Arabidopsis thaliana: one gene and its partner. The protein of the gene in region 1 purifies or fractionates together with the protein of each later gene. This does not show direct contact. Each region holds a gene or a part of one and is shown in the gene's direction. Other genes may lie near its edges.

Region 1 (3,924 bases):
CTTTGCTCTCATCATCATTCTTAACCGAAAGAAGAGAAAGAATGTTTCTTTCTATATGGTTAACCAATTTGTTCGATTTTTGTGTTTCATCCATTGTGTTGTAAGAATAGAGTGGTGTAATTGATTGCTGAATCTGAAATAAAATTGATATTGTGATGAAGAGAAACTGGAAAATAAGAAGTTTTAGAAAAGAATTTTTAAGAAGGGTTTTGTCTTGCGCTTAAAGGCTGTTTGATTATATATGAACACAAGAAAAATCTCAACAAAAGTTTTGTTGTTGTTTGTTAACTATTGAAGCCATTGTAATGGCTGTTGTTAAGTGCACGGGAACGATTTAGGATTTATGTAAGCAAAAATAGTTCGTAGTTAACAAAGTTTGACCACCACTCTTTTACCAAAAAAACAAAATTGACCACTCCACCACTTTTAGCAAAAAGTAAGTAATCTCGAGAAGGAAAAAAACAAAAGTCATTAGTATGGGTTAAAAACTTAAATACATGTACTAATCAACAAGAAAATAAATTTGGTGATTTTATTATATAAAGTATGGTTTTCAAAGTTGCTAACTCATAGGATTGTGCCACGTGTCAAGTCAAACGATCAGATGTTTACATGTGTCATTCAAAATTTAACTTTTTAATTCTCTAAAAAAATAGAAAATCTTAAAAAGTAAACAAATTTACATATACTAATTTATATGTCTATATATTTATAAACAATTAACATTTATTCAACAAAAGGAAAATTAACAAATTTGTCTTTAACTCATGTAATCATAAGTGAAAATAGAACATTTTGAGAAAAATAGCTTAGCTTACAGGACTTAACTTTTCAATTATTTTTATTTATTAATTTTAACTCATTTAATATTAATTTGCATGATGTAAAATTAACTTACGAGATTACGGCATATATAGAAAATATATTTTCAACAATGTTTGGTTTCTAAATATTTTTGTGGATTTTTTTTATATTAATTATTAGCCCTAGGCGTTTGGGTTTTCGGGTCGGGTATTTAGGGTTCGGGTTTTCGGGTTTAGAAGTTTAGGACCCGTTCGGGTAATTTAAGGTTTCGGGACATTTATTCAACAAAAAGAAAATTAACAAATTTGTCTTTAACTCATGTAATCATAAGTGAAAATAAAACATTTTGAGAAAAATAGTTTAGCTTACAGGATTTAACTTTTCAATTATTTTCATTTATTAACTTTAACTCATTTAATATTAATTTGCATGATGTAAAATTAACTTACGAGATTACGCCATATATAGAAAATATATTTTTTAACAATGTTTGGTTTCTAAATTTTTTTGTGGATTTCTTTTTTCTATTAATTATTAGCCCTGGGCGTTTGGGTATTCAGGTCGGGTATTTCGGGTTAGGGTTTTCGGGTTTAGAAGTTTAGGACCCGTTCGGGTAATTTAAGATTCCGGGTCGGGTTCGGGTTCGGATTCGAGTTTATTTATATATTGAAATATCAAATTTTGTGTGCAAATCTATTAAATTACTTGAAAATTTCAAAAATTCCCAAAACAACACGAGTAGTTTTGCTTGAATATATCTAAAATGACACAAAAATAACTAAAATATCCAAATAATCCTAATATTTTCTATATATAAGTATAAATATAACTAATATATACTTATATTTGAAATATGTTTGGATATCTATTCGGGTTCGGGTTCGAGTTTTTCGGGTTTTGAAGTTTAGACCCGTTCAAGTATTTGAAAATTTTCGGTACACCCGCCTAAATAGGCGGGCCTTATCTAGTGTTTATATAAAAGATAAGAAAAATATTTTACTCGGTTCAGTTTGATTATTTCAATTTTCTTTGGTTTGGTTTGGTTTGGTTTATATAAAAGTATAAACAGAGGCCTGAGCCGGCCCATCTTAAAGATCCAAATGCTTTGGGCCCAAAATTGATCTCTTCTCACTCGTCGAACCACATATTTCTCTGGTTTGAGTAGCCTCGGTATGATCTAAACCGGAAAAGGAGGTCAATTCCGTAATTTTAAATTTCCTTAAACCCTGTGCCTGGGTGAAATTTCCACACTTCATCGCCTCAAGGCAGAACCCTAATTTATCTCCGCGTCTTCTTTTTGCTCAGTAACAGGCCATCGGAGAAGTTAAGAGGCTAAAATGGATATCGACGGAGAAGATGTATCTAGAAGACTTCACGTTAAGTTCGTGACGAAGCTTGACTCTCCCTTCAAAGTTCCGGTCAACTCCGTCGCAATCCCTTCTAATGTCACTCGTCTCGGCCTCTCTTCCATCGTCAATTCTATTATCGAATCCGGTAGCCTTTTCTCTCCATCTCTCCCTGCAGTTTCGAATGCTAGTATTTATTCGTCTTTGTCTTTAAATTTGTCAAATCCTAAGTGTTACTTGGAATAGTGGTCTCTTTCTCATACGAGAGTTTGTTAGGTCTGCTTAGGAACTTGTTTGTACTTATGAATTAGAGAGCTTACATAAAAGCATATATTATTGTTCTACCTGTGATTATGCAATATTCATCACTGAGACTTTTTGGATGAACAGAGAATCCAGAGTGGAAAACTGAGCCGTTTGATTTCCTTATTGATGGGGAGCTTATTCGGATGTCACTCGAAGAGTTTCTTCTTGCAAAGGGAATATCGGCGGTAATGTGTTTCATCTTAATCTTCCACTATTCACACCAGCTAGTGTACTTGGAATTAGTCCATAGTGCTTTATCTTGGAAACATATACTTAATTAAGTTCATTGGTTCTTACAGGAGCGTACTCTTGAAATCGAATACATAAGGGCTGTGACACCACGGAAGGAAGAAGAACCCTCCTTGCATGATGATTGGGTCAGTGCGGTTAATGGTTCTTCTCCCAGGTAATATTTTTTCCTACTGCATTACTTTATGATGTAGAATTTCCTTTAAGCTGCTAGATGTCTTTTACTATTTCTTCTGTGACACCAGTAATTTGAATTAAAAACTCTTATTCATTTTTACGCACAACCACCTTGCCATATGGAAAATCATAGACCTGTATCTTTGTTTAATATATTCGACTGCCATATCATATGTTGTTAGAATTAGTCTTCATTTGTTCCAATTCAAGGCCATCCAGTGATCCGGATGATATCTAAGGATGAATATAGTCATTTGTTCTTGGTTTTAATGATTGTGTTAGTGGTTCTCTTGATCTCGCTGTTGTTATTTGCAGGTTCATTTTGACTGGGTGCTATGACGGATTAGGAAGGTGATCATTTGACTTATTTATTTAATCTTATATGCTTTTGATTATTTTCTATCCTTTTGTATTGCTTTCAAAATTTGCAAGAATCTTAGATTACTTGGTTTTTCTTCTGATCAGGGTATGGAGTTCGGCTGGATCGTGTTCACACATATTAGAAGGCCACTCCGGGGCTATCTCCTCTGTTGCTTTAGTTAATTCCAACGGTATGACCATCGCATGAGAAATCTATACTATGCCTGTTCTGTACTAGCAAATGATACTAACAAGAATAAATTTTCCCTTTTTTGGCTCATTGATCAATTCTTTGTTTTTCTTTGTGTTGATTTGTGCATCCAGATGCAGAAACTGTTACTGTAGCCACTGCCTCTAAAGATCGGACATTGAGATTGTTTAAGGTAATCACGGATGAGATATCATACTTAAAACCAAAGGTTTATTTTACGTCTAAGTAAAGATATCTCTCCCTGTCTGAAGTTTGATCCAGCTGAGTCTGTTGACTCTACTACGAAAGTAAGGGCATACAAGATATTGCGTGGACACAAGGCGTCAGTTCAAAGTGTTTCAGCTCAGAAATCCGGAAACATGGTTTGCTGTTACTCCTTTCACTTAACTTGTGTTTTGCAAGTATAATTTTGTTGCTATATTTCTTCGAGCTAAGCTGACCCCCTTTTTTTGTTGTATAATGGAATTTAGG
Region 2 (3,924 bases), on another chromosome or scaffold:
TTTTGTAGGTACATCCAGGTTGGGAATGCTGTGGCAGTTCCTGTAGGGGTTGCATTAGGATATGCCTTTGGTATGGCGAGTCAAGGACTGACGGATGATGAACCAGTAATCAAGCTGCCATTCAAGTATCCCGAATGCATGCAGGCAAAGGATCAAATCTGATTGACAGTCTCCATCAAGTCGTCATGATGAAACTATCTTTAGGAATCATACTTCATTTTCTAGACTTTCTTTTAATTTTTTGGGTTAGCAAGAGCTATATGCTCAAACAATGGCGGCTTAAACTGTCTAGCTCTTTCTTGTTGGTTTATCTTTGACTTTATAATCATTTGGAACCATTTTATTTCTTATGATTTTTAATCTCAAGATTTCAAATTCTATTGCGTAGACTTCAATCCTACGTGATGCCATCCAACAAGAATTAAGACCAAGCAAAAGACAGACAAAACCTGTTATTGAGCATCCGAGGTGCTAGGTACGTCCGTGATCTCTCGACGAACATTGGTTCGATTTTGCGTAATTCAGTTGCCACCGACCGACCGAAACTCTGGTCAATGATCACCACTTACCAGCTTTTATTAGTGTTATTCATTCATTCGCAAAAGCTAAGTAAATTCGAAGGCAGTTAGGCCCACAAGCCCATATAATGGTGAAAGATTTGGTTCACCCAAATAATGTCCCCACTCCTTCGGTTGGGCTTTTACGTTATAATATTCGGCCCAAATTTGATATCTCATAACAGAGCAAATTTTTCACATAGAAGAAGCAGAGAAACCAATTGATCTACTTTTTTTTTTTTTTTGTTTCTTCCTCTTCATCAGGCTTGTTCTTCGATTCCCTCACTTAAAGAAGGGTTTCGAATTTGCTCGAAAGATTGAAAGGAAAAAAAGAAAGAGGTGAACCATTCTCAACATAAATTTGTTGTTTAGGAGATGTAAGAATGATAATTTCTTGGATCTAATCGCGTTCAGAAAGTGAGAAAGTTTTAGGATTCATAAATATCTTTGTGTTCTTCTCCACCCTAATAAACACATTGATACAGAGATGGAGGATGAACATGTTATGATTGATCTTGATGACGTTTCAAGGCACATTGACATTCCAGCAGATGCTCCTTATACTTTATCAGTTAGTTCAATCCAATTCTTTCATTTCACTTTTTGCATTCTCTTGTTTTATAAGTTTGGTTTTGTTTGGTTCTCATAGGGTTTGGATACTTTGAATCCGGTGTTGACCATAGATGGCAAAATGAAGCTGGTAATTCTCTTACTTGCAACTAGTACAATTTTCCAAGTTCAGTTACTCTTTTTGCTTAAACCATTCTTAATCGTGTTAGATTTGATGATCTCTCAGGTAGGAGAATATATAGCAACGATTGGTACATGCCTTGCTTTCTCTGACAAAGGTTAGTTTCACTTTTCCTCTTTATTATCAAACATGGAAACACATGTTATTGTTTCAAGTAATTATTCTGTCCCTTCAAGATGCTGATTTGGGGTTGCGGTTTCTTCATTTGTCTGTTTGCACAAGGTGATAACCAGACGCCACAGAAGAAGACAGTTGAACCTGTTGCCAAACTCCACAAGATTCTCAAGTTTAGGTTAGCACCATTAGACAACGAAGATGGAGTAACAAAAACAACCAATTTGTAAAAGTTTTTCTCTTGTTCAAGTCATTGGAAACCTGACTTTTCTTCAAAGATCATATTAAAAAAAAGAACTATAACAATAACCGACAGATTATATATGTAGCTAAGGCACATGCAGCATCTTCCTTTGTTGGCCTCTTGAAAGTAGCAATCAAACTAAGACCAAACCAAAAGGTAACTAAACGATTCACAACTTCAACGTACGTTTTCATGATTTGTCCTTCTGATGATGTCAATAAAATAAAAACTGAATTGAATCAACCAGTGATGGAGAAATTATGCATCCCATGTAATTAAAAGAAACAAAATCACACAAGATATTATAAAATAAAACTAGGTATATTCAAAGGCAGTAAGGCCTTACATAAGCCCATAAATATTGGGCTTTTTTAGCCCAATAGTATTATGAGTCTGGCCCGGAGCGTAATTAGGTCTGGTGGCAAAGTTGTTAATAACACAAAAGAGATTTTAGTTAATAAACCCTAGGCTTCTCAAATCGGCCATTGCTACCAACTTCGACTTGGAATTCTTTCAGCCGCCGTCCCAATTGCTTTGCCGCCACCGGTAAATTTGTTCCCCCTTTTCCGTTCTTCTTATCTTGTTCATTCTGTTGGTGTCCCTATAGCCTCACTTTCTTATAGGGTTGAGTTCAGTCTCTGTTTATAAACTTTTTTCGCAAAAAAATTCAATCTGACAATCTGTTTTGTGTTGTAGAAGCAAAGAGTAGAGAGATAATGGCTGAGGAAGAAGCTAAGGGTTTGGATTACATACCGGAGATAGTACTGAAGAAGAGGAAGAACAGAGATGAGCTTGCCTTTATCAGGAAGAAGCAACTTGAGTTGGGTAATTCCGGCAAGAAGAAGAAGAAAGTCTCTGATATCAAACGTCCTGAAGATTTTGTTCATGAGTTCAGGGCTAAGGTACACTTCTTTTTTTCCAGATTCTCTGAAAAACTTTTGCTTTGTCTTTTTCCATTCGTTTTACTGCCTCAAGTTCTGATTTTTGCTTCTTGACTTTTGTCTACACCTTAGAAGAACTTGTTTTTGCTTATTCTTTGAGTTAAATTAAAGCTATACATCAACCTTTATGATTAGGTTTTGTCACTTATCTCTTAGACTGTAACTTTTCTACAGATAATTTTGTGTTTCTCCTTTGAGATTTCTCCCTAGTTTTGCAAGGTTGTGCTTAGGACTTGTTGTTTCTTCTGTCAATCCTGCATTGTTCTCTGTAATTTAACTGTTCCCTTTTTGCTAATTTTATCCCTACTTAAGGAAGTAGATATGATCCGGATGAAGCAAAGAGTAAAGAGGCCAAAGTCATCTCCTCCACCAGTTAAATCTGACCTGGTTTTCATCATACGCATTCAAGGGTATTTGATATTCTCCAATTAGCTTTGTTTTCCCCCTGGAGTTTTAATCTTTATCTCTGCCTGTTTCTTATCCTTGCCTTTTCTTTCTGGTGACCAGCAAGAATGATATGCACCCAAAGACCAAGAGGATTCTTAACAATTTGCAACTAAAGAGCGTCTTTACTGGTGTATTTGCTAAAGCAACTGACAGTTTGTTCCAAAAGCTTCTCAAAGTGCAGCCTTATGTCACTTATGGGTACGTAGAGACAATCAATCCTCTTTCAATATTTCCTTGTTACTCGATTTCCATGCTGTTTCTCTATTCTCGTATGAGCTAACCGATGTTTACGATTCTTGAAGATACCCGAATGATAAGAGTGTTAAGGACCTTATATACAAAAAGGGATGCACAATCATTGAGGGAAATCCTGTTCCTCTTACCGACAACAATATAATCGAACAGGTAAAATTTCCTACTCTTAAAAGTATAGGAGCTTATTCCAGATAATAACCATGCTGTTCTTAATCGTTTCCACTTTTGTTACCTTAGGCTCTAGGAGAACACAAAATCTTGGGCATAGAAGACCTTGTGAATGAGATAGCAAGAGTCGGAGATCATTTCAGAGAAGTTATGAGATTCTTGGGACCCTTGAAACTCAACAAGCCTGTGGCTGATGTTTTGCACCGGAAGAAACAAGTTTTCAGCGAAGGAGGAGATACCGGAAACCGCGAAGATAAGATCAATGATCTCATCAGCAAAATGAATTAGAAGCAGCAATCGTTGTAATCGCTAGCTACTTACTATATTTTCCTTAAAAGATCTGTACGAGGCTAAAAACCAACCATTTTGATGAAACACTTGCAATTTTGGTTAAAGGGCATTCCAAATTTTATAAGCATCGTCGACTTCAGATATTATATTATACAC

Evidence for each region.
Region 2: the proteins of AT5G15550 (region 1) and AT1G80750 fractionate together in Arabidopsis thaliana (co-fractionation; one large-scale study listed by BioGRID). This does not show direct contact.

What each region holds. Positions count from the first base shown.
Region 1 is NC_003076.8:5,060,221-5,064,144, reverse strand, and holds the start of AT5G15550 (Transducin/WD40 repeat-like superfamily protein), read left to right. Parts: upstream 1-2,000; 5' UTR 2,001-2,141; coding exon 2,142-2,298; intron 2,299-2,540; coding exon 2,541-2,641; intron 2,642-2,755; coding exon 2,756-2,862; intron 2,863-3,197; coding exon 3,198-3,233; intron 3,234-3,347; coding exon 3,348-3,433; intron 3,434-3,566; coding exon 3,567-3,625; intron 3,626-3,704; coding exon 3,705-3,815; intron 3,816-3,923; coding exon 3,924-3,924. Other genes in the region: AT5G15560 (uncharacterized protein), read right to left, coding at 1-94. UniProt on the Arabidopsis thaliana protein: Required for maturation of ribosomal RNAs and formation of the large ribosomal subunit.
Region 2 is NC_003070.9:30,346,670-30,350,593, forward strand, and holds AT1G80750 (Ribosomal protein L30/L7 family protein), read left to right. Parts: upstream 1-2,000; 5' UTR 2,001-2,212; intron 2,213-2,362; 5' UTR 2,363-2,382; coding exon 2,383-2,568; intron 2,569-2,919; coding exon 2,920-3,017; intron 3,018-3,114; coding exon 3,115-3,252; intron 3,253-3,356; coding exon 3,357-3,459; intron 3,460-3,546; coding exon 3,547-3,765; 3' UTR 3,766-3,895; downstream 3,896-3,924. Other genes in the region: CMT1 (chromomethylase 1), read left to right, coding at 9-162; AT1G80745 (Transcription factor TFIIIC, tau55-related protein), read left to right, coding at 1,045-1,128, 1,207-1,257, 1,354-1,405, 1,531-1,652.